Linked DNA regions of Caenorhabditis elegans. The protein of the gene in region 1 purifies or fractionates together with the protein of each later gene. This does not show direct contact. Each region holds a gene or a part of one and is shown in the gene's direction. Other genes may lie near its edges.

Region 1 (5,491 bases):
ATCAGCTTCTACCTGAAAATATAAATATTGTAAACGAATTTTAATTCAAGAACTCACAGCACGCAACTGGTCCCAGCGATTTCCATGAAAATGCTCCATAATTAGTGTGTGAAATAGGTGAGAGGGAGAAAAAATGGGTCTGTGGAATGAATGACAAGCGAAAATTTAAATGAAAAAATCAGAATTTTCCCGCGCATAATTTTAATTTTCGACTGATACACTTTCATCGGTAAAATAGAGGCAGATCAATAAAATAAGTAGGTCGAAAATAATTGTTTTTGTTTTTTTTTAAACGCGCGCGCACAAATAGTTCAAACACGATGACGCAAAAATACACAGTTTCGCAGTTTTTTTAAATTTCTTTTGTTTTACAACACTCTTTTCTGAAAAATGTCAGATTTTGACGATTCTGATTCAGAATTTCAAGGATTTGAGCTAAGGTTTGTTTTATTTTAATAACTAATAATAATTCTAATATTAACTTTTACAGATCACCTCAGATCCATGTAAAAGAATTCTTGATAGTCGAAGAAGAAACTCCAAAAATCATCAAAAAGGAAGAGGTTCCAAGGAAGTTCGAATCCGAGTTTGTTGGCTCATTTCTGGGAGAAAGTCCAGTTGTACTTTCAAAAGAAACAGCGTTTGGAGAAGCTGGAGAGTCGGAAGTTCTGGATTGGGATGCCAGTACAGTTTTCAACAGCCTAGCTTGCCCTGAAAACAACCTGTGCGTTTTTTAAAAGTATACATTTTATAAAGAATTAAATTTGCCTTTTTCCAGAGAAAAGTCAGTATGCGTCATTCGTCTCCACGACGTCCTCACAAAATCCGAAATGGGAGTACACAAAATGAAGCGACAACTTATTCATTGCGGGTCGGTCTTGGAAATCAAACTTTTCATCAATTGTCAATTTTAAGACAGCTCCTTGATGAATATTCTCCTCAACAACGTCGTGATTTGGGCTTTGATGATTCTCAAAATGTGAAGAATCTTCTTCAAATGATCCGAGCGTTCCGGTCAACTGTTAAAATCATGCTGATCGACGTGGAGGATCTTCAGGACCAGATTACACAAGAAGCGCAAGATGAGACCCCAATTATATCCAAATTTTCGAAACTTTTATACGTTTCCGGTGCATTAGCCGTCATTCCTATTTGTTGGTTTATGTACCGCAGATTTTGTTAAGTTATCTTTTAAATCTTGAATAAAAATTTAAAAAAAACATATGTTTTATTAAAATTGCTCTTATTCGTAACTATGTACGGATTTATATATATTTTTTTAATTGTACAATTCGCTAAAATGACAGTAAACTACATTTGAAAATTTTATTTAAAAAGAAGCTAACGTCAGTAGCACACTTGTGTCCTGGCCACCTGTCTCTGTTGCCCTCCCATCCTTATCACAGATCACACTTCAAACATCAAACTTCTCAAGGCAGAACTCCTCCCAAATATCACCCGAATTTTTCTTCTCAAAACTTTTCGCCAGTCTCACAACCACGTGTTTCCCAGACCTTCAGTTAACTTCACTTCTCATTTTCCCTGATTTTCTGTCTGCGTCTCTATAAAAAGTAGACAAAAAATGCGAAAAAGAAACGTTTTTGTGTACTCAAGTTGTGACACACTCGCTCAGACTATTGGCTACTGATGGTTTTTAGTTTTTTTTTTGCTTTAGACAATTCTACCTCTAAAAATTAAGATTTTATAACAGTTTTCTAAATTTTTATTAGTTCAGTGAATTTATCATGATTTTTCTAGAGCCCCATCGGAATTAACATTGAAAATTTTACCCAGACGCGTTATTTTTGCAACTTTTGTACTAAAAATACAGAACCCGGTCTCGACACTGCAAAGTTTGTTAATTGAAAAAATATGTGTACCTTTAAAGAGTACTGTAGTTTTAAAATTTCGTTGCAGCAAAATTTTTATATTTTTTCTCGCATTAAACTTTAACTGTTTTTATTGTTTTGTTTTAGTTTTCTTGATAATATTTTGAAATACTTGAGATAATTGAAAAACTGTGAAAAAATCTATGAAAATCATACAGAAACGATAGTTTGAAATTACCGTACATTTTAAAAGCGCACTCCTCTTCGCGTTATTACGGGAACAATAAATCATGAGAATGCGTACTTGGTACCGTAATAAATAAAAAATTGTCGTGTCGATACCGGGTTTTATTATTTTCAGTAAATGAGACGTTCCCATCACTAAAACGTTTTATTTGTACGTTTCCGCTACTTTATTGTAAATAATATTGATAAGAAATCAAATACGCAACACGGAAATTGTTATCGAGTATCAACACACAATTATAATCTTTTCTACTTAATACCGATTCCTTGTTCCACAAATTTGACTTTCTGGTTTTTCCATCTTATAATCCTAAATATATTGTTTCTTTTTCCAAAATTAAAAAAATTTTCATTCAGATAAAATGCCGATTCTCTCAAAAATATGGGCGGCTCCAGCAGCTGGAATCTTGAGAAAAACTCCGAGAAATGCTCATCAAATGAGGCTAATCTCAATGACATCCTCGATGAAAGCAAAAGTCTTTAACTCTGCCGAAGAAGCCGTGAAGGATATTCCAGATAATGCAAAGCTTTTAGTTGGCGGTAAGATTTGGAATTTTTTTATGTTACCAAAATTTTGCGATTTTTGCGCCAAAAATACGGTAAGTCGAAATTACAGTACTCTTTACCTTTTTGCATTCAACGAAAATGTTTGTGTTGAGAACAGTTACCGTATTTTTGGCGCGAAAATCACAAAAAAATGTGTCTCGGCAATTTTGAAAATACTTTAATATCAATAGAAATAAAGTAACCAATTTCAGGCTTCGGACTATGCGGAATCCCAGAAAATCTCATCCAAGCTATCACAAAAACTGGTCAAAAAGGTCTTACATGTGTATCAAACAATGCGGGAGTTGATAATTGGGGACTTGGCTTGCTCCTTCAAACTCGACAAATCAAGAAAATGATCTCATCGTACGTCGGTGAAAACGGAGAATTTGCTCGACAATATCTTAGCGGAGAGCTCGAGTTGGAATTCACACCACAAGGAACACTCGCCGAACGAATTCGTGCAGCTGGTGCCGGTGTTCCCGCATTCTACACACCAACAGGATACGGTACCCAGATTCAAGAAGGAGGTGCTCCGATTAAGTACAGTAAAACTGAAAAAGGAAAGATTGAAGTTGCAAGTAAAGCGAAAGAAACACGACAATTCAATGGAATTAATTATGTAATGGAAGAGGCTATTTGGGGAGATTTTGCATTGATCAAGGCGTGGAGAGCAGATACTCTTGGAAATATTCAATTCAGGTAAGAATTAAAAAAATTAAAAAATCATTTTTGAAAAATTACAACAACAACAAAAATCAAAATTTCAGACATGCTGCTGGAAATTTCAATAATCCAATGTGCAAAGCCTCTAAATGCACCATCGTCGAAGTAGAGGAAATCGTCGAACCGGGAGTAATTGCTCCAAACGATGTGCACATTCCATCAATCTATTGTCATCGTCTAGTTTTGGGAAAGAACTACAAAAAACCAATCGAACGGCCAATGTTCGCACACGAAGGACCAATAAAACCATCTACATCGGCTGCTGGAAAATCGAGAGAAATCATTGCAGCACGTGCAGCTTTGGAGTTCACAGATGGAATGTACGCCAATTTGGGTATCGGGATTCCGACTTTGGCGCCAAATTATATACCAAATGGATTTACTGTTCATTTGCAAAGTGAGAATGGTATTATTGGAGTGGTAAGGAAATTTAAATTAATTATTTTTATTTTCATTTTTGTTTTTCAGGGACCATATCCAAGAAAAGGAACAGAAGACGCCGATCTCATTAATGCTGGAAAAGAGCCAATTACTCTTCTCAAAGGAGCTTCAATTGTTGGTTCTGATGAATCATTCGCAATGATTCGTGGTTCTCATATGGATATTACTGTGCTCGGTGCACTTCAGTGCTCACAGTTTGGAGATTTAGCGAATTGGATGATTCCGGTGAGCTTTGAGAAAAAATAGATCACTGATAATTCGTTCTTTGTGTTTTAATCGACCGAGTGATAAGATAAATATGATCAGTGATCTGAAATTATTTATCAGTGATGTCTAAAAACGCTCGAAGTTTCAACTAAAAAAGATAAGCAACTCAAATTAAATAAAATGCACGCAGCACATAGACTGATCGAAAATTATTAACCGAACAATTTTGGCCAGATCTAGTCTCAATAAAAATAATTTTTTGATTAAAAATATTAATTCTACAAAACTCCAAAAAATCTTGATTTTATTTCTTAAATATATATCTGAATTTATTTTGTTGGTCCGAAAAAACTTTAAAAAAAAAACGAAAAACCCCCAAAAACAAAAAATTTAGACAACTTCATAAAAATATACTTTTCCGCTTAATCTTCCATCTTAATAAATTTCTAAAATTTTCCAGGGAAAATTGGTGAAAGGAATGGGCGGTGCAATGGATCTTGTCTCTGCTCCCGGAGCCCGTGTGATCGTTGTAATGGAGCATGTATCGAAGAACGGAGAGCCAAAAATTCTAGAGCACTGCGAACTTCCTCTGACCGGCAAAGGAGTAATTTCCCGAATCATTACTGATATGGCAGTTTTCGACGTGGACACAAAGAACGGATTGACATTGATCGAAGTCAGGAAGGATCTTACTGTAGATGATATCAAGAAACTCACCGCTTGCAAATTCGAAATTTCCGAAAATCTGAAGCCAATGGGACAGGCTCCTCTTAATCAAGGATAATTTGTCAATTTTGACAAATTTCCGTGAAATGTGTAAATACTTCTTTAGTCCGTTGTTTGTTACTTTTTTGTCTTTTGCCTATAATACCGGTTTAGGATTGTGTGAACAAAAAGAGTTTTAATGAAATAGTTCATAAAAAAATATAAAAATTGAGTTACAACAAAAATTACAGTTCCAGTAATTCATAGAGGAGTTTTGCAGAGCTGAAAATTTTTTATAAAGTCGAAATTTTTGGAAACAAGAGCTTACAGTAGTAATATCTGGAAGTGGCTTCAGTGTCTCGGCCAAAGTCTGAAGAGCTCCAAGTGGACACAAGGTGGCTCCATTACAAATTGGAAGTTGACTTGTCACATCAGAAATCGGAGTGTCATCTCCTTCACGGTACAGAACCTGAAAATTTAATTGTTCGAATTTTCTGGTTTCTCTCTGGAATACCTTGAAGAATCTCTCGTTTGTTGACGTGTTTCTGTGGAATTCCATAAATATTCCAGCTGCGTATGCTGGCCATCCGTCAAGTGTGTTAGCGATTTGTGGAATACCAAGAGCAACCAGGACACCGTACACATTGTTGTCATGCTGGAAAACGAATTTGTTGTGAGATCTTGGAAAATTGATTTCAAAAATTAAAAAAAACATTTTTTTTGTCAAAATTTTTTTTTCTGAAAATCCTGAAAAAATTCGCATGAAAAGTAACTAGCTTTTCTTTTCTTTT
Region 2 (4,780 bases), on another chromosome or scaffold:
TCTTCAAAAATTGTTGGTGCTGCCACTCTTGTAGTCGAGCTCAAGTACATTCATGAATGTGGACTTCGTGGAAGAGTCGAAGATGTTGTCGTTGATTTGACAATGCGTGGAAAAAGGCTGGGAATTCTTATCAACGAAGCTCTCGTTAAAATGGCAAGAAGTCTTGGAGTTTATAAACTTTCTCTGGAATGCAAAACAGAGCTTATCCCATTCTACAACAAATTCGGGTACAACGAGAACATCCATTTCATGGTTCAACGCTTCGACAAGCCAGAAATTATCACTTTGGACTAATATTTTCTCATAAATTCATCATATTTATTGTACGATAGAATTTATTTAGCTCTTAATTTCATTGAATAAAGCTGTGATATTCCTACGTATTACCTTTTTTAATATTTTCATGCCCAATGTGTCAGAAACAATTTAATATCTTTGAAATATACAAAAGGTTACGGTTTCTATGAAAAAACTTGAAACGCGTCAGCAGATCGGGAAATGCGCCAAGAGTGAGTGTAAGGCGCACGCCGCTCATTCAATCATTTATTTATTTGTTATGCAGTTCATCAAAGTTTTCAATGTTTTTCTATTTTTGAGATCATGATTGCTGTCACATCCGTTTGGACAAAATTCCGACGAGGTCTGCCTATTTACTCTTGGCCCCTCCTCGCCGCCACAATGATTTTCGTTGATTGGAATCACACTCGAGAATGGAAAGCAGCTGGAAGAGTTTCTGCTCTGGAAAAGGAGATTCTAGCAAAGCAATAATAAGTAGATAATAGTTGTAGAATAAATCTTTATTCATTCTGAATTTCAATGTCCGGTTCTCTTTCTTCTTAACGCGAAAAAGCAGTTGATGTTTTCATCGTCTGCAACTGTGCGGTACGCTGGTTTTCCTCCAAAAAGTGTTGTTTATTCTGATGAGCCATTGGCTTGATCATACTGTTTTGTGTAGTCTCGATGATTTCGGCAAATGTCAGCAATTTGTTGTCGTAGGAAGTCTTCAAAAGATGGAATGCAGTTTTGATGAGATCCTTCGAAACTGCCGGATTTCTGTACGAGAAATAAGCGAGGTGGAACAAGCTGACAGTTGTTTCAATGTAAAACGAAATAGCCAAGACGAAGTAGGATACAGCGACTGAAGTGAACGCCGAAATCATTTTTTCATAACTTGGTCCATTTTCAACAGCGGTTGCAGTGCCTGAAAGGATCGGTATTCATCGAAGCTTCGGCATAATACAACTTACTCAATGCAGTACGAGTAGACGCTTTTCCACGAGATCTGAGAGTCGAATTGATAGCAGTGTTTAGCTCGGAATCGCTCATCGGTGGGATGACGGCAGTGTTGGTCTCTGACTGCGCAGTACGGCTGTCGACGGAAGTTGCCATTCTTGATTCGATAGGCGTTGCTTGAAAACCTTTCGAGTTGTTGAGACTGAGCGAAAGACGAGAAGTGATTCTGTTTGAATTTGTGAGCAACGAAACCCTTTATCTGATTGTAATCGAGAATAATCGGCTGTCACGCATAATACCTTTTTTAATTTATAAAATTAAATGCGGAAATATATTTTATGATTTTCACGTTACACATTAGGAAAACCTTTTATCAAGTTTTTATTTAAATTAATTTTGGCAATTTCTACCCGCGCGCGTACTTTGACCCATCATTTTCTTGTTTTTCTTTTCTATCTCGGTCTCTCTGTATCTATCTCTCACCCATCCTTCTTATCATTTTCTTTATTTTCTTGGTGTAGTGCCCGTTTTTTTCAATCGTTCCACGTAAATTTGTTGTTCTTTTAATGTTTTTTTTTTCTTTTAAACGTTTTTTTTTATTTATGATATTTTCAGCCGAAATGCTCTCTGCAAGAACTGTCCTTAGCCGTGCTGGCTTGATCAGCAATGTAAGTTTTTTGTGAGAATCAGCTGTGGGTATATGATTTTTCGATTTCCAAGGTTTTCGAATTGAATATTCAGTAAATGACTCATAAATTAATTCCATAAATTGAAGAATAGAATTATAAAAAATATTAAATTACAGGCCTCCCGTCTGAACAGCACTCTTGTTGTCGCCGAGCACGATGAGACAAAGCTTGCTCCAATCACTCTCAATGCTATCACTGCTGCTTCTAAAGTGAGTACAGACGGAATTAAAAAAATATATTTATAAATTGTATAATTTTCAAGCGAATCGCAATGCAAAATGTGATCTATGATCATTGTTCCCTCCAAGTATTAGTTGTAGTCATGTTTCGAATCTTGTTAGTTATTTACAAGAGTACAGACCCTATTTTGTAGCGCGCTTCCAACTATTTTAACTAATTTTATTTCAGCTCGGAAATGAAGTATCTGTCCTCGTCACTGGAGCCAACGCAACAAAGGTTGCTGAACAAGTTGCAAAAGTGAATGGAGTGAAAAGAGTTCTTGTGGCTCAAGATGAGAAGCTGAAGAATAATCTTCCAGGTAATATAAACCGAATTAATTTTTCTATTATGCTCGTATTTTCAGAACGAGTGGCTCCAGTTATTCTTGCTTCTCAAAAACAATTCAATTTCACCGCCATCACCGCTGGATCTTCAGCATTCGGACGTGGAGTTATTCCAAGAGTCGCCGCTAAGCTTGACGTATCTTCAATCTCTGACGTCACTGAAGTTCATTCGGCTGACAGTTTCACTCGCACTTTGTATGCTGGTAATGCAGTTAAAAAAGTGAAGAGCACCGCACCGATCAAGCTTCTCACCTTCCGTGGAACATCGTTCGAACCAGCAAAGGAAGGAGGAAGCGGCGCTGTTGAAAATGGTAACATAGAAAATCGTTTTATCCAGATGCGAAGATGCGAAGGATTTTGCTCCAAGAATAAGGTACCTGCTCTCGAAGCGGCAGTTTTACTCGAACTCGAATAAGTGTATGGCTTTTAAGGGGTACTGTAGTTTTTACTTGTTAGCGGATTTTCTGAGATTTTCCGAGTTTTTCTTCTGTTTCTTCAAAGTTTGAAATTTTAAAATGTTAAAAACGGACGAAAACTTCAAAAAAAAAGTCGAAGAAAAGCTTGCAACAACCAACTACAGTAGCCCTCAAAGACGCAAACACATTTTCATTTAAGAAAATCTGCCGCTTAGAGACCGGGTGCCGTATTAGAGATAAAATCGCAAAATATCGCATCTGGGTAATATATGAAAGAAAGTACGTAAAAATTTGCCTGAAAAACGAACCCCCAGAAACTGGCCGAGCCTACTTTTCTTGTTTATTTTTATTTTTTATGACTGAGTAGGACAATTCGAGACAGTTATCCCACAATTGATAGTCCACATTTAATCCTGATCTTTGTCAAAAGTCTTTATTCAGCCCCATCCGCTGATATCAAAACCGACCTCAGCGAATTCCTTGGCCAAGAATTGAGCAAGTCTGAACGTCCTGATCTTGCAACTGCCAAAGTCGTCGTTTCTGGAGGACGTGGATTGAAGAGTGGAGACAATTTCAAGCTCATCTATGATCTTGCTGATAAGCTCGGAGCCGGAGTCGGAGCATCCCGTGCCGCTGTTGATGCTGGATACGTACCAAATGACATGCAAGTCGGTCAGACTGGAAAGATTGTAGCGCCGGTAAGAAATCCATTAAGTGAGAAGCAAAGAAAAATGAATTAATTTATAGGAACTCTACATTGCAATCGGAATTTCTGGAGCCATTCAACATTTGGCTGGAATGAAGGACTCAAAGGTGATTGTCGCCATCAACAAGGATCCTGATGCACCAATTTTCCAGGTAAAAATTGAATTTAACACAAAATTGTTAATTCTAAATAATTCAGGTCGCTGATATTGGATTGAAAGCCGATTTGTTCAAGGCCGTCCCAGAACTGACTGCTGCTCTTCCATGAATACCTTCAAATAGCCTAATGTAGATGTGTCTTCTAAATTATTGTATTCTATTTAGTAACTCGGTTTATCGGGATATTGTGATTTTCGTTTTTATGCTTTCAATGTGAATAAACAGCCAAATCTGTTTTATGAGCGTTATCACGCGATTCATAAAGAACAATTGAGAAGAGCAACACTGGAGAAAACCGAAATGAGAATTTTGTATCAAATATCATATTCACAAGAAGCACGGAAACAACGAGAAAATGCGAGACAAGTGAGGTGACGAATTGATAGATAAATACTGGAAAATTTGAAACATTCCTGGTGATGGTTTTGTGATTGGGAAATTACTCTTCTATTAATCAAAACGAGATACCCGCTGCGGGATGCAAAAAAAAGCGAATGGGGAGGATTGGGGGGAACAAGAAACTGAAAGATTTCTCAAATTTTTGAAGAATAAAAATGATGAAACTGATGGGCTGGAATAACAAAGAGATCGACAAAAAAGTCCGACGCAGCAGAGAACATTATGAGAATTTCATTTTAAAATGGACGGCGATTGAAAAAAAAAGAAACAACGAATATTTAAAACGGAAAGTTGGACCTGTATTAGAATGCGAAAAGGCCAAACATAAAAACAATATTTTTCAAAAAAGAAAAAATGGATCCAGAGGTCAGCCGCCACCGAAAAAGGAGGATTTTGAGAGGATGAGAGATTACACTATATATCGATAGATATCACAATCGATAATACTAAAATATGTCGGTACAGGATCAAGCAACCGCCACTGTCGAATTTTCTTCTTGTTTGATTGTTGCAGTAGCAGTAGTTGCGGCCACAGCAGCAGCTACATCATGTTCCATTGTCTGTGGTTCTTCTTCTTTAATCGTTGGTTCTGTGGTGGGTCGAGGTGAATTCGTGG
Region 3 (3,279 bases), on another chromosome or scaffold:
CTGCCGGTATTCTGTCAGGACTCATTAGGTAGAGTGGAGATTCACAGAAGAAACTAAAACCTAATGAGACCCCAGAATACTGCCGGTATTCTGTCAGGACTCATTAGGTAGAGAGGAGACTCACAGAAGAAACTAAAACCTAATGAGACCCCAGAATACTGCCGATATTCTGTCAGGACTCATCAGGTAGAGAGGAGATTCACAGAAGAAACTAAAACCTACTGAGACCCCAGAATACTGCCGGTATTCTGTCAGGACTCATTAGGTAGAGTGGAGAGTTGGAAATGAAACTAAAACCTAATGAGACCCCAGAATACTGCCGGTATTCTGTCAGGACTCATTAGGTAGAGAGGAGATTCACAGAAGAAACTAAAACCTACTGAGACCCCAGAATACTGCCGGTATTCTGTCAGGACTCATTAGTTAGAGTGGAGATTCACAGAAGAAACTAAAACCTAATGAGACCCCAGAATACTGCCGGTATTCTGTCAGGACTCATTAGGTAGAGAGGAGATTCACAGAAGAAACTAAAACCTAATGAGACCCCAGAATACTGCCGGTATTCTGTCAGGACTCATTAGGTAAAGAGGAGACTCACAGAAGAAACTAAAACCTAATGAGACCCCAGAATACTGCCGGTATTCTGCCAGGACTCATTAGGTAGAGAGGAGACTCACAGAAGAAACTAAAACCTAATGAGACCCCAGAATACTGCCGGTATTCTGTCAGGACTCATTAGGTAGAGAGGAGATTCACAGAAGAAACTAAAACCTAATGAGACCCCAGAATACTGCCGGTATTCTGTCAGGACTCATTAGTTAGAGTGGAGATTCACAGATGAAACTAAAACCTAATGAGACCCCAGAATACTGCCGGTATTCTGTCAGGACTCATTAGGTAGAGATGAGACTCACAGAAGAAACTAAAACCTAATGAGACCCCAGAATACTGCCGGTATTCTGTCAGGACTCATTAGGTAGAGAGGAGATTCGCAGAAGAAACTAAAACCTACTGAGACCCCAGAATACTGCCGGTATTCTGTCAGGACTCATTAGGTTTAGTGGAGAGTTGGAAATGAAACTAAAACCTAATGAGACCCCAGAATACTGCCGGTATTCTGTCAGGACTCATTAGGTAGAGTGGAGATTCACAGAAGAAACTAAAACCTAATGAGACCCCAGAATACTGCCGGTATTCTGTCAGGACTCATTAGGTAGAGAGGAGATTCACAGAAGAAACTAAAACCTACTGAGACCCCAGAATACTGCCGGTATTCTGTCAGGACTCATTAGTTAGAGTGGAGATTCACAGAAGAAACTAAAACCTAATGAGACCCCAGAATACTGCCGGTATTCTGTCAGGACTCATTAGGTAGAGAGGAGATTCACAGAAGAAACTAAAATCGTATAGAACCCGCGATGATCACATCTATCCCATGTGCACTAAATTTCCTCGTTTTTACTGGATTTTTGAATGTTTCAGTTGAAAACCAATCTGTTCCGTTTTTGGGAACGGAGTGGATTGATGCCGAGGCTTTGAGGCAGCCTTTGCGAGAGATTTGGCACTCATTTTGTCTGAAATTAATTATTTATAATAGAAAAACTGAATTATTTTGTAAAATTTGTAAAGAAAACGGTAAAAATCTGTTTAAAACTCGGGAAAACTCAAAAACTATGAACTATGAGTTAAAAATCCGACAAAAGTTGCGCCAACAACTTTTGCTGACCCATTACTCGTTTTCTCTGCGTCACAACGCCACGTTTGCTTGACTTTTGTTTGCACACCTTCGATTGCTCTTTTGCACTGATTTCTCTGTCCATTTTTCTATTCATAACGTATTTTTTCAATAATTTTTCGTTGTATTGTGCTTCTAAAAATCAATTGTATTGTTGTAGGATCATGAAAACCGCTGTTATCGTTGGACTTTTGTGCCTATTGGCGATCGCATATGCTGCCGATGAGCAGAAAATCGATAAATTGCAAATTGGAGTCAAGAAGCGTGCCGAGAACTGCGTTCAGAAATCCAGGTAAGCTTACTCTTTTTAATTAAAATAAAAATGTTAAATTTACAGAAAGGGTGATCAATTGCACATGCACTACACCGGAACCCTTCTCGATGGAACTGAATTTGATTCCAGCCGCACTCGCAATGAAGAATTCACTTTCACTCTTGGACAAGGAAATGTTAGTTTTTAAAGAAAAAACCAATATCAATAATTAAAATTGAAATTATAGGTGATCAAGGGATGGGATCAAGGACTTCTTAACATGTGCGTCGGAGAGCGTCGTATTCTCACAATTCCACCACACCTTGGATACGGAGAACGTGGAGCCCCACCAAAGATTCCAGGCAACTCTGTCCTCAAGTTCGACGTTGAGCTCATGAAGATTGACAGAGACGGAGAAGAATTGTAAACGAACTACGGATATTTAGAAAACGTGCCTTTTGTAACTTATTCATGTTCTCAGAGTATAATTTTTTTTTGCAGTTTTTTTTTTTGTCTTTATAAACATGCCCATTCTATATATTTGGACCGTCTGCGGCCATTGATCACAACCGCGTCTCGCTTCTCTTTATCACCTTGTATTGCACTCTGTCAGCGAAAATGATAGGGTGTGCGAGACATTTATCAATTTCCATACACCTTTTTCTCTTCTTACCTAGTAATGCCTTGCTTTCTTAGTTTTTAAGAATGATTATTTTAATCTGAAAATCTGGAATCAACAGTTTCGTAAATATTAGAATTCAAGTATGTGGTTCCTCTGTAAATAAAAAGCACGAATCGAAAAAGGAAATGCATTTTTGAAAATGTCGAACAATAAACAAAAAATTGGAATTCTATTAGTAGAAACCCAATTAAAACTGGCATCCATGAATTATTGCACCAACGATCCGAATGCTTCTTTTCTCTTTTTTTTTGTTCATGCTCCATCCTAACAATAGTTATAAATTGAGGTCGATTCTTGCTCTTCGTTGTCTTCTCTCAACACACGAGTAAATTGAGTATTCCTTGAGAGCCTCCTGTGAGAGTATTTGTGAGCCTTGTATTTCCTTTCTCTCACTGCTTTCTTCTTCAGTTTTGATGTATAAAAGTATGAATAATAAAACTGACATTTCGCACTGAAAATTCAACGTGGTTTCGGGAGTAATATTTGCATAATCCGTCTTCTTGAAACCAACGGAGCGTGATGGAAATTTGATAGGACTCGATATTTTCTCTAGAATTTTGAACTTGGTTTTTTGAATTCTCTATTTTTTTGAGATCTATGATAATCTAA
Region 4 (5,003 bases), on another chromosome or scaffold:
GCGAATGTTCAGCTTGGCTTATAGCAGTTTTTTCAGAGACCCGAGCTTTTATAAAATTCCGGTGGACTCATAAAATATGGTCACAAAACCAAAAAACGAAAAGCATCATTCATCCATACCAAATGATTTATGTGGTAATCAAAGCTTAAAATGAAATTCTTATGATTTCTGATTCTTTGATTCTAAAGCTTGAAAAATGTGATTCTAAAGCTTGAAAACAAGCTTGAAATATAATTTTGTTTGCCATGAGATTTTTGGATAAAAGACGATTTTTTTGCAATTATCGTTCACAAAATTGTTCTTTACAACTATCCCGAATGAAACTACTGAAAATTAAACATTATATGATTATTGTGGAATATTATTTTGAACTAAATTATCAGCTTTGATTATTTGAAATTGAAATTCCGGCAAGGAAGTAATCGTACTTTTATAAAAATTTTCATAGCCCATAAGTTCACATTTTCCCGTCCAAAAACAATTGTCTCTATAAATATGTTCATTGAACCTCTTTTTCCTAAATTTCCGCATTTTCCCACTATTTCTCTCAATTCTCCCAATTATGTTGTTGTTTGTGAGTGTCACCATAGGCCGTTCTACGGAGAGTTTTGTTTGTATGTCTCGGTTCTCTTCATCTCTCGGTTTTCAAGAAAAGGGATTTTCCATTTTAACGTTTTTGCACTTTTTTTTAAAGCTAGTGATACCGATTTTTAAAAAAAACAATTAAGACGTATCATTTTCAAACTTAAAGGTTAAACTTTCAAACGACAAATTTTGATTTTTGAGCGTTTCGTTCCAATATGAAGGATCATGTTTCCTTCAACTGATCGTTTCGACGTTTTTTCTTCTCCAGTTTTTCTTGTTTACTTCGTTTAACCTTGATGATCTTCTAGTGGTTTATTGTCGAGATTTTCATTCAAAATTTACTAATTTCAATAAGATTTAAATCTAAAGTTTAGAGTCTTTGATGTATAAATTGGACATACTGAAAATTAAACGTTTTGGAAAATTTTCCGTAAGTACAGAAACATAGTTTCAAATAAAAAATTCGAAAACATTTCTAACCATTACGATTAATCAGAAAAAAAAAATAATTCAGAAAATAACGCTTCGTTTACAAAAACCTTCCACGCAAACAAATATTGTTTACCAAAAACTGATAACGTGGATGTTTTGAAATATGTTGTTGTTTTCCCACATCTTCGTTGATTTTTCTCTTTGAAGCTCTGGTATTTCAAGACTTAAAAGCATTTTTTGGCTTTCACCTTGACTTTCTTTTACCCTAGTTTAATAAGTATACAAGGTGTGAACTAAAAATTGTAACGATCACAAAGTTTCTTTTTCTCTGTGGTCAACTATCCTAGATACATGCCAGTGTCAGGCATTTGTCAGCATTTCCATTTGCCGCCTAGCAAATAGACCCAGCCTTTCGTGTGCTTCTCTTTTCCTTTTTCTTGTTCCTACAACTCAAAGTGCTCCAATTGGTCTCTGTAGCCCCATTTTTATATTTTTGTTATTTTTTGTACGAAGAATTTGCCCGAAACCTCTAGGACAAAGTTTGAAAACTGTACGTTTTTTCAATTAAACTTTCATCTATAGACTCTTATTGATAACAAAAATTGATGACTGATGACTACGTTTATTTATCATTCTTTTCCTTGATTTTCTGAAAAAAAAACGAATTTACACGTACATTTCTTTAATATTCCAGTATAATAACAATGGCTCTCGCCAATTGGCTAACCCCTGTTGAGCCGGAATGTGACAATGATGATTCTCCGGCAGTGGAGGAAATTCTCGGTAGAATCGAAGATGTACCGCCAGGAACGTAAGTAATTTCAACTTTTTAAAAACAGTTCTCTAAAGTTTTAAAAAGAAAATTTAAAAAATAACATTGTCTTTTTCCAGTAAGAAAATGTTCGAAGTTCGTGATCGTAAAGTTTTGGTGATTAACGACGAGGGTCGAATTTACGCTATTAATGGATTGTGTTCTCATTACAATTTCTCATTGGAGAATGGAACATATGCAAAAGGAAGAATTAGGTGCCCACTTCATGGAGCTTGCTTTAATGTTCGATCGGGAGATATTGAAGACTATCCAGGCTTTGACAGTCTTCATTCTTATGTGGTAAGTGGCACCCAAAAATTTATTGTTTTCGCATTTTTGGACAAATTCTTTTTTGAAAAGTTGGAGGTGACTGATTAAACTTTGTTGTCCTTTTTTTGTAATCAAACAATTATATTTTTCCAGGTTACTGTCAACGATGGAAACCTTATTATCAAGACAACTGAAAAGAAGCTAGGTTCTGATCGTCGAATTCGACATCTTCCAAAAATGAAGCAGTGTAATGATCGACCAGTTGTGATTATCGGTGGTGGTGTAGCTACAGCTACATTCATTGAGCATTCTCGACTTAATGGTCTTATAACCCCAATTTTAGTAATCTCAGAAGAGTCTTTGCCGCCTTATGATAGAGTCTTGCTGTCTAAGGTAATGTTAAATCTTTTTTTCTAAATTACCTATGATTTTCAGAAACCAGCAGCAACCGGAGAGGATATTCGTTTGAGAAAAGATGATGCGTTTTACGAAGAGAGAAATGTCAAATTTCTTTTGAAAACATCGGTGATTGCAGTAAATCATAAAAGTAGAGAAGTCAGTTTATCGAACGGAGAAACTGTTGTTTATTCAAAACTAATTATTGCTACTGGAGGAAATGTTAGAAAGTTGCAAGTACCCGGATCAGATTTGAAAGTGAGAGTAAAACGAAAATCTGAAAAATATAAACATGTGCAATTTCCAGAATATTTGCTACCTTCGTAAAGTAGAAGAAGCCAACATAATTTCCAACCTTCATCCTGGGAAGCACGTCGTCTGTGTAGGCTCATCATTTATCGGAATGGAAGTGGCATCCGCTCTGGCAGAAAAAGCTGCGTCAGTTACAGTTATTTCCAATACTCCGGAGCCTCTTCCAGTTTTTGGATCAGATATTGGTAAAGGAATCCGTCTGAAGTTTGAAGAAAAAGGAGTAAAGTTCGAGCTGGCTGCAAATGTGGTTGCTCTTCGTGGAAACGATCAAGGAGAAGTCTCAAAAGTTATTTTAGAGAATGGAAAAGAGCTTGATGTAGATCTTCTTGTTTGTGGAATTGGTGTTACCCCAGCCACTAAGTTTTTGGAAGGATCTGGTATCAAATTGGACAATAGAGGATTCATTGAAGTTGATGAAAAGTTTAGAGTGGGTTTAGTTTATTTTATGATGCTTTTTTAATCTCTAATACTTCAGACTAATATCAGCTACATCTTCGCAATGGGTGATGTTGTCACAGCTCCTCTCCCACTTTGGGATATTGACAGTATCAATATTCAACACTTCCAAACTGCTCAAGCACATGGTAAACCAGAAGATATTCAAATTTAACTATCGATGTTTAATATTTTAGGACAACATCTTGGATACACTATTGTTGGAAAACCTCAACCTGGACCTATTGTTCCATACTTTTGGACTCTGTTTTTCTTTGCGTTTGGTTTGAAGTTCTCAGGATGCAATCAAGGATCCACAAAGGAATACACTAATGGAGATCCTGAAACTGGAACTTTCATTCGATACTTCTTGAAGTAAGTGAACAATTATACATTTTTCATGTTAGTAAAAACTTTAAGAAAAGACAAAGTCGTAGCTGTAGCTGCTGGTGGTCCATCCAGTGTTGCCTCCCAGTTCGCTGAAATTTTCAAAAAAGGAATCGAAGTCACTCTGAAGGATTTGAAAAAGTTAGTTTTAATTTAAACATTAATGCAATTACCCAAATAAACTTGCAGCAGCAGCGATCACACTTGGGGACATCTTCTGCTATAGACGAGTGTAGGAATTCAGCAGTAAATAAATAAACTATTTGTTTGATTAAAAAAAATTTTTTTTGTGTTTTTTATGGAATGAACTAAAAACTGATTTATATGTATTCGCTGTTCCCAAAAATCCGATTTCTGAAAAAAAAAACCATTGGCTCTTCCTTTAATAAAAACTGAGAAATATTAGAAATATAACAATGCACCTGATTGTTTCACAAAAAACCACAGAACCAGTCAAAACTCTGAAAATGTATAAACTCAATTGAGATGCTCTTCTGTAGAGACTGATCTTCAGTAACCATAAAATGAACGTTTTCAACAAGGAAGTTCATAAAACGAGTGTAATTTTCACATGCAATAAATAACTACACTACAACTCTTTAGTTTGATTTGTGAAAATGCCAAAACTCACAAATCATGAGCAGTGTCACGTCTCAAATCCCAGACAGCAAACTGTGATAAGACTTGTAACTTAATCCACTCATTTGACTTGCATTTGACTCAACCCGGATACCAACCTTCTTACCCGGCTTATTCTCTCATTTCACTTCTTCATTTCTTGGCCCGGTGGTGATAAAACATTGGTTTTGATTGCGACGAGAGGCACTCACTCTTCCGTTTATCACTAACTCTTTGCTCATCCGGAGACCCTTGCTAATAGAGATAAACTTGTCGTTCTGTGTCTTGATATCATCCAACTCGTACCTTCTTCACCTTCTTTCTTTTTCATCTCTCTCACTCTTGGTCTATCACCTACATTTCACTCCACTGGATATACCGCCACCGTTTGTCACATGTGTCGACGAGTCCTCCTCTTTGTCATCGGGTCCGTGAGATATTAGAGAGTGTTTGATTGTGAGAGAGTATAGACAACGTAGCATTAGAGAAAACCTCCAGAGACTTGGCTCCACAGACCCTTTGCTCGATATCGATGTGATTATATGATAAAACTTTTTTGAACTTGATTATTATTTTTTGTTACACCTGTTACCTTGAATTTTCCAAAATCTTCTGAAATTTCAGATACCGTACTTCGTCTCGACCATAACTCAAATGTGACTAATTATTTCGGAAATTAAAACGCGTGTTTCAAACTTTCTGAAACTCTTCGAAATTGAATTTTTAATTTTGATTCTTGTCCACTGCATGAGTCAAA

What was found.
Region 2: the proteins of C05C10.3 (region 1) and etfa-1 fractionate together in Caenorhabditis elegans (co-fractionation; one large-scale study listed by BioGRID). This does not show direct contact.
Region 3: the proteins of C05C10.3 (region 1) and fkb-1 fractionate together in Caenorhabditis elegans (co-fractionation; one large-scale study listed by BioGRID). This does not show direct contact.
Region 4: the proteins of C05C10.3 (region 1) and F20D6.11 fractionate together in Caenorhabditis elegans (co-fractionation; one large-scale study listed by BioGRID). This does not show direct contact.

Annotation. Positions count from the first base shown.
Region 1 is NC_003280.10:9,933,835-9,939,325, reverse strand, and holds C05C10.3 (putative succinyl-CoA:3-ketoacid coenzyme A transferase, mitochondrial), read left to right. Parts: upstream 1-2,432; 5' UTR 2,433-2,437; coding exon 2,438-2,615; intron 2,616-2,833; coding exon 2,834-3,323; intron 3,324-3,391; coding exon 3,392-3,767; intron 3,768-3,815; coding exon 3,816-4,013; intron 4,014-4,455; coding exon 4,456-4,779; 3' UTR 4,780-4,912; downstream 4,913-5,491. Other genes in the region: C05C10.5 (uncharacterized protein), read right to left, coding at 1-12, 58-99; C05C10.7 (uncharacterized protein), read left to right, coding at 391-440, 491-724, 779-871, 916-1,183; pho-11 (Putative acid phosphatase 11), read right to left, coding at 4,962-4,982, 5,029-5,169, 5,215-5,355. UniProt on the Caenorhabditis elegans protein: Key enzyme for ketone body catabolism. Transfers the CoA moiety from succinate to acetoacetate. Formation of the enzyme-CoA intermediate proceeds via an unstable anhydride species formed between the carboxylate groups of the enzyme and substrate.
Region 2 is NC_003279.8:7,700,581-7,705,360, forward strand, and holds etfa-1 (putative electron transfer flavoprotein subunit alpha, mitochondrial), read left to right. Parts: upstream 1-1,848; 5' UTR 1,849-1,853; coding exon 1,854-1,901; intron 1,902-2,038; coding exon 2,039-2,131; intron 2,132-2,330; coding exon 2,331-2,460; intron 2,461-2,505; coding exon 2,506-2,796; intron 2,797-3,342; coding exon 3,343-3,599; intron 3,600-3,648; coding exon 3,649-3,759; intron 3,760-3,805; coding exon 3,806-3,874; 3' UTR 3,875-4,009; downstream 4,010-4,780. Other genes in the region: gna-2 (glucosamine-phosphate N-acetyltransferase), read left to right, coding at 1-294; T23G11.11 (uncharacterized protein), read left to right, coding at 601-768; T23G11.1 (uncharacterized protein), read right to left, coding at 837-1,201, 1,248-1,389; lsy-22 (STI1 domain-containing protein), read right to left, coding at 4,632-4,780.
Region 3 is NC_003282.8:11,034,687-11,037,965, forward strand, and holds fkb-1 (peptidylprolyl isomerase), read left to right. Parts: upstream 1-1,895; 5' UTR 1,896-1,899; coding exon 1,900-2,027; intron 2,028-2,072; coding exon 2,073-2,184; intron 2,185-2,235; coding exon 2,236-2,415; 3' UTR 2,416-2,488; downstream 2,489-3,279.
Region 4 is NC_003283.11:8,195,803-8,200,805, reverse strand, and holds F20D6.11 (Rieske domain-containing protein), read left to right. Parts: upstream 1-1,711; 5' UTR 1,712-1,721; coding exon 1,722-1,828; intron 1,829-1,908; coding exon 1,909-2,128; intron 2,129-2,251; coding exon 2,252-2,491; intron 2,492-2,533; coding exon 2,534-2,752; intron 2,753-2,801; coding exon 2,802-3,233; intron 3,234-3,281; coding exon 3,282-3,390; intron 3,391-3,438; coding exon 3,439-3,616; intron 3,617-3,661; coding exon 3,662-3,769; intron 3,770-3,817; coding exon 3,818-3,854; 3' UTR 3,855-4,032; downstream 4,033-5,003.